Linked DNA regions of Mus musculus. The protein of the gene in region 1 interacts with the protein of each later gene in a pairwise test. Links are inferred from orthologs where the notes say so. Each region holds a gene or a part of one and is shown on either strand. Other genes may lie near its edges.

What was found. The genes of interacting proteins can lie anywhere in the genome.
Region 2: the proteins of Kat5 (region 1) and Stx11 interact in binary tests that used the Homo sapiens proteins (3 or more experiments, as listed by UniProt). The two-hybrid records come from large-scale screens. The link is inferred for Mus musculus from reciprocal best matches to the Homo sapiens genes KAT5 and STX11.

Annotation. Positions count from the first base shown.
Region 1 is NC_000085.6:5,602,387-5,604,826, forward strand, and holds the end of Kat5 (histone acetyltransferase KAT5), read right to left. Parts: intron 1,951-2,440; exon of another isoform or gene 1,708-1,950; intron 1,604-1,707; coding exon 1,444-1,603; intron 1,330-1,443; coding exon 1,248-1,329; intron 1,167-1,247; coding exon 1,032-1,166; 3' UTR 628-1,031; downstream 1-627. Other genes in the region: Rnaseh2c (ribonuclease H2 subunit C), read left to right, coding at 64-183, 438-464. UniProt on the Homo sapiens protein: Catalytic subunit of the NuA4 histone acetyltransferase complex, a multiprotein complex involved in transcriptional activation of select genes principally by acetylation of nucleosomal histones H2A and H4.
Region 2 is NC_000076.6:12,961,415-12,965,636, reverse strand, and holds the start of Stx11 (syntaxin-11), read left to right. Parts: upstream 1-1,377; 5' UTR 1,378-1,637; intron 1,638-4,222. UniProt on the Homo sapiens protein: SNARE that acts to regulate protein transport between late endosomes and the trans-Golgi network.

The DNA of each region.
Region 1 (2,440 bases):
AGATGGTAGGTTTGGGGTGAGGGCAGTAGCTGCTGTCCCGAGTCTCAACCCGGCCTTTTCCAGGACCGCCTTATCGGGGCCACCGGCAGCTTCAGCCATTTCACCTTGTGGGGTCTGGAAACGGTCCCGGGTCCAGATGCCAAAGTGCATAGGGCCCTAGGTTGGCCCAGCCTCGCAGCAGCGGTACGTATACTCAGGAGCCCTTTTCCTCCTCAGACTTGGTCAGTCCTTCTATCCGATTTGAATAGTGTCTCTAGTGATTTGGGGGCTTTAGGGCAATAAACACCACGGGGATCATGGCTCCGGAGGCCCAAACTCCCAGTGGTGGGGGGCATTCCCCACTTTTCTCTTAGACGAGGCTATCACCCTGAGCAGCTGGGTCCCCACCCAACTGCTGTGTATTATAAGTCACAAAGTAGAAGTGACTCCTGTTGCAGATTCACGCCCAGGTCCCTGAGGACTGAGAACCAGATCATGAGAATGACAGTCACAGATCCCTTCTCACCACTTGGAGCGACTGTTTCTATCCCAATAAATGAGATCTTCACAATGCCTGAGTCTGTGGGCACCTTAGCACCCTGAAGCTGCCATTACATGGCACCCAGTTTGGTAAGAACTCCTGATAGCTCTGCCTATATAAACAATTTATTTCTGGGGGCAAGAGGGGCCAGAACTTTGCAACCAGCGCCCACCCCACCCTCCAGCTCCTCCTTTATAAAAGAAATTTTTACAATCACCGGTCCTGTACAGAATGCTCCCCACCCATCTTAATGTACACAGCTGCCTGGATCCCTTTGGTCCACGTGTTCAGAGCGGACCTGGGCCAGTAAGCCAGTTATCCTCGGAGTTGGCCTAGACCTGAGCTTGCCTTGGCACTGGCCACTAGTGGGCCCCTCCTAGGCCTCTTCTCCTCTTGGGTCTGTTCTTCGGCCTGTCTCACTTTGCGTGCCTCTTCGAAGCTCAAATGGGACAAGACAGGGTGCTAGCCATGGTTCGGCCAGCTCTCGTGGTATGGCAATGGGTAGTGTGTGTCACCACTTTCCTCTCTTGCTCCAGTCTTTGGGAGTGAAGTGCAGACACTTGGAGTCAATCCGAAGGAGCCGCTTGAGCATAGCCCGCTCATGCCCATCCACGATGTCTTCTGACAGAGTTAGGATATACTGGCCCTGAGCAAGAGATAGAGCCAGCTCATGTCAGCTCAGAGCCTGCATCCATATCTCATCTATCCCCTGAGCATGCCTCCTAACCTTGTAGTAATTGATGAGGTTGAGATACTGCAGTGTGGAGATGACATCTTCTTTCTTGATACTAGTGATTTCACTGATCTCACTGTGGGGGTGGAAGTGGGGGAAAGTTCAGTCCCCTGAAGATATTCATCTGTCCCCAGAAACCCCAGGAACAGACAGACCAAACCACAACCCCCAGGTGGGCATTTGGGCTCACTTGATGGTGATCTGTGGCCTCTCCCCGCTCTCCGACTTCAGCCCCATCAGGATCTCCAAGATGGTTTGGGACCAGTAACTTCGGTAGGATAGGAGGCCAAGATCTGACAGGGGTTTCTCAGGAGTTCCGGTCTTCCCTTCTACTTTCGAGAGTTCATAGCCTAAAGCAATAGAGCACAGGAGGCGGAGTAAGCGTCACATGTACACAGCAGCTTATGAGGAAGAAGGGCTGTGGAGCTGGGCTGCCTGCCTGCCTCTCACTTACTCTTGGTGTGGACCAGCAGCTTCCCTGTCTGCAGTGTTGGGGGCCAAAGGCTAGAAGAGCAGCTCTGGTTGGGTACTTGTCAGCCAGTGAAGGCTGCCAGGATGGGTCGCTGCCCTGCCAGCCTGTGTCTGGGTGTATGGCAGTAATGAGGGAGCCCTTTGTGGTCTGAGGACATGGGAACCTTTTCAGTGTCATCAGTTTAGCTGCGATCCTGGGAACGCCAGCTGCTCTCAGCAGAATGGGCTGGGTGGTTAAGGACATAATAGGAAAGGACAGGGGGCTCCTCAGAGCCAGGTACCTGACCCTTGGTGGCCCTTTCCCTTACCTGTGTTGACCACAAGGCGCTGCCAGACAGTCTCTGAGACCGTTAGGCCCCAGTGAGCCGACAGCTCTTTATGTCCCCATTAGTTTGGAGACCCTTCCTTCCCCTCAGCTCTACTGGCCTCGTGATGATCCAAGCACTCTCGGCTCCTGGCTGAATCTCTATTTGTAGTCTCACCCTCTTTGCTCAAGCACCCTTGGACAAGAAGGGCGGGAGAGGCTGGTGTCAGGGTCCACACAGTTAATAGCCCCACAAGTCTACTGGCAGCCATATTTGCCTCTAGTTAGGAACTGTGTACAAGGATTGCCTCCCTTCCTTTTATCAGTCTGTTGGCATTTGTGTGTCCTACTGGGCAAAGCAGGCACATCCTCACGGTTTGCCCTGAGTTTCCTTTCTCCTGCTCTAATCGGG
Region 2 (4,222 bases), on another chromosome or scaffold:
CAAGTACTTGCAGGTGGATCTCTGAGTTCGAGGCCAGCCTGGTCTACAGAGTGAGTTCCAGGACAGCCAGGACTACACAGAGAAACCCTGACTCAAAAAAACAAAACAAAACAAATGAAAAGCAAAACAAAACAGAAGGCTGGGGCATGGAGGAGAAAGGCCCCAAGGATAAAGTGTTACCTTTACCTGGCTTTAAGTATCTGACCTTGTGTATTGGGTGAACTGTGTGGCTGCTCTGTGTGTGGTAAAAACTACTTTCCGTCTCCTTTCCATACAGTCCTCTGTTGAGGTGAGGAGCAGGCTGGCCCACACTTAGAGTGCAGAGACAAGCTTCTTTTCCATGAAAGTGGAGTTTCTGCTTAAGTTGCCTGAAGTTGCTCTGCCCCGGAGATTTGTCTTTCTGGCCTTACCTGGCCTTACATTAGTAGATCGATTCATCGGTCATTTCACATTAGATGGATAACTTTGGGTTACCGTAACACCTTGTTCCTCAAATTCTTCTGGCGGTGGCTTCCTATCAATGCATATCATCTTTCTTTCTTCCTGTGTTCTTTTTTTAAGATTTATTAAATATTATTTATTATTATATGTAAGTACACTGTAGCTGTGTCTTTCAGATACACCAGAGAAGGGCGTCAGATTTCATTATGGATGTTGTGAGCCACTGTGAGCCACCATGTGGTTGCTGGGATTTGAACTCAGGACCTTTAGAAGAGCAGTCAGCGCTCTTAACCACTGAGCCATCTCTCCAGCCCCTCCTCTCATACTTTCTTTGTTTCTTGATGGCTAGCCTTCTACCTTGTTTGTCCAGCGGTTTCCCACCCCCTAGCCAGAATGCCCCTTTTCTGTTTCTGAGCCCCCAGTAGGGTGCCAGGCAACGAGGACAAGGTCGTGGCAATACTCCTGTGGGTGTCCCACTGACAGCAGGCAGGAAGGGGCTAGTGGAAGGCGGGGCTCAGTGTCTACGTGGTCCACAACCTCGGGTTAGGCAGTCGTGCGGGTCCCCGCTGGCGCAGCCACACCCACGCTCAGAAACGGTTTCTAGTGCCCTAGTTTCGGAACTACTCTGGACTGCAAAAGTCATCCGCGCTGAGGGGTTTTCCCGCGGAAAGTCCGATGGATCCCGCCCCGCCCATCTCTCCATCCCAGAGCAAGGAAGAAGAAAGAGCAAGTTCCCGGGTGGTCCACACCGTCGCCCGCAGCATCTCGGGGTGCACAGGAGGGGAAGAAGGCTCGTGCTTAGGTTCCCAGCAACCCGCAGCGTGGCGACCCCAGTCGGGACGGGAAGCTGCGCGCCTAGCCGAGGGCGTCCCCGGGGCGGGGCCCTGGTCCCCAGCTGTGCAGCCTCAGCGCGGCAGGGGCGGAGCCAGCAGCACCAGACGCGGCCCTGCGGCTCAGGGCTCGGACCCCGGCTGAGAAGCGCAGCCCGGGCCAGCAAGAAGCGGAGGGGGCAGAGCCGCGGGGACACGCCGCGGTGTCCTCCCGGCGTCCGGACGCTGGATCAGCGCCCCGCAGGATCACGGTTCGTTTTGTCCCGCGAGTCTGCTTAGCTCTCTAACTCTTTCGACATCGGGGACCCAGGTTCGGGGTTGGCTGGAGTGGTGGACCGCGCTGGCAGGGATGCTGCGCAGCTGCAGGTGGGTTTGGGGTGTGGTTCCCTCTGTGCCTCTAGGTACCTTCAGGACGAGGCTTTGGGTTTCTCACCTAGAGCCGAGAGCTTTTTTTTTTTTTTTTTTTTTTTTTTTTTTTTTTTTTTTTTTTTTATGTTTAAGAATATAATGCGTTATCAGAAGTGCTTCAGAAATGTAGACTGACTCTGAAGCTTCCTGAGGCAACTTCTGTTTTGAATTTTTGTTGTTTTTATTTAATGGAGGTGTTTTATTCAGTTCGGTCGCCACTTTCTCTAACACATCAGAATGGACACTTCTCCACTTGAACTTGACAGTATGACTCAGGAGCCAGGAAATACAGGAACACTGATACCGCGTTGAAACAGCTCCCACGGAGGATTTGGGGTAGTTTGTTTTAGGAAACCGATCTGATGGCTTTGCTTAGAGAACCACACCACGGAATTCTGTTGGCTTCTTTGGCTCCGCGAACATCAGCTGAGACCTGCGTTTTACTTCCTGTGACTCTCACACTTATTAGAGCCATTTCTCAGCAGAGGGAGGAGCTGTTGTTTCTACACGGGTATCCACAAATGAGTCACAAGTCTACTACAATTGCAAGGCTTTGTTAATACGCTTTTGAAAAGTGAGGTTGGATTCCTGTACTTTGAATAAGACCGAAGATTCAGTCTGGTACTGTCAAACTGGGGCAGGCGGCCTAGGAAGTAACTATTCAAGTTTTCAGTTTCCTAGAGCGCCTGATGGGACAACATGCCAGCTAGGGTCACTAGGCTGATCTGAGATAAACCCTTAAAATCATGTGCTTTCCCACAGAAGCTGAAGAGAAAATTAATTTCTTTATCCAATAACCATTTGGCTGTTGTTTTCACTAGTTGGTAGAAACTGGACATTTAATGAAGTGATTGTAAGTTACTCTGAAATTTAAAATATTTCAGAAAGTTTATTTTTACCAAATTAGTGCCTTAAAAAAAAACATATAGAAGCTTTTGAAGAAAGTAGATGGTTGCTGGAGCCAGACATTAAGATGCTGAGTCTCCCTGAGGCTGGATAAAGGCTCTAAGAAATAGACTTCCCTATCTAGGAGCTCAGTAGAGACAGGAATAACTGCATATCCTGGCTGAGCTGAGGTCAGCCTTAGACAGCAGTTGCAAGGTTCTGGTCTGTTCCAGCCTTTTCATCCAGGTCCATGCATGCAATATGGACACAATGCTATCCTGGCAGCCAGGGCCACAGCTGAGCAGATTCTCCTGGACATCCAACACCGTGAGATGGATGCTATGGGAAATTTATACCCAAAGAAGGTGCCCCAGTGTGGGGGATCAGAGTATCCTGGATCACTGCTGGGACAGCAAGGGAAGGTCTGGGTTCTCATCATCTGCTTGTCTTGGTTGGCAGCCTAGTTTTCATTCAATACATGCATGATTTAAAAAGCATATTAGCATATGTCTATGATTTAAAAGCCCATTAGGAAGGCATGGCTTTTAAAGTGTTTGAATTAACCATGTTTCACATTACTTAGCAGCTGTGTAAAGGCAAACCCAGTCTCTGTTATCATCCCTGGGCAGTTGGGGGCACTCTTTTAAACACCAGAGTGACTTAGGAGTGATTAGCAGCTGTCTACTCACCAGTTGATACAATAGTTGCTCCCCATCTGAGGACTGGCTTGACTCCCATGATTTTTGCTACCCAAGCTCTGAAATAGAAAGTTCCAGAATAGTAGTAGTATATTTTGATTTATTTTACTTGAGACATGGTCTCACTGTGTAGCCCTGGCTGGCCTGGAATTCACCACACAGACCAGGCTGGCCCAGAATTCACAAATTATCTGTCTGCCTGCTTCTACCTCCTGAGAACTCATATTAAAGGTGGGTGCCACCACACTTGTCAGTAAGATACTCTGAGAGGAAAAACATCCACACCAAATTAATTATAACCATATTGCTGCAATTGTTCCACCTCTAATTCTTGTTAATCTCTTGCTGTGAATAATTTGTGAATTTAAACTTTATCTTAAATATGTGTGCACAGGAAGCAGCATAAACAGGTGCCAGGCGTTCACTAGAGTCTCCTGGACCGGAAGCTCCAGGGTTAAGGAGGACCTAATCTCCCAGTCCTCTGAGGTGGCCCACTAGCAAAGGGCATCTGCCCAACCTAACAGCTTTCATCTCTACGTTTCATCTCTCCCTCCGCGGCCTCAGAGGCACATTTTCTAGAGGAAAGAAAAGATAAAAGTGTGTTATTCAGCATTGCATTTCTGGGCTTTGGCACAGGTTGACTCATGGTTAGCGGAAAGGAGCGTTGATTAAACAGTGAACCTGACTGTAGATGAGGGTTGTCCAGGAGCTTGGAAGGGTGGGTGGCCCAGCAGAAGGAGCAGCGTTCTGTGGTCAGGAAGCTCCAGTCTGTTTCCTGGGCACTGGGGGAGTGGGGACGAGCAGAGGGGAGGGCAGAAAGATGAAGGAGGAAAGATAAGACCGCCTAGGCCCGTGTGCCATGGAAGCCCCAGGACTTTATTCTGAGGAGGCCTCAGAGAAAACACACAGCATGAGAGGAATGTTTAAAACAGAGCCGAAGCAAAGGAGGCAGTGCTCACA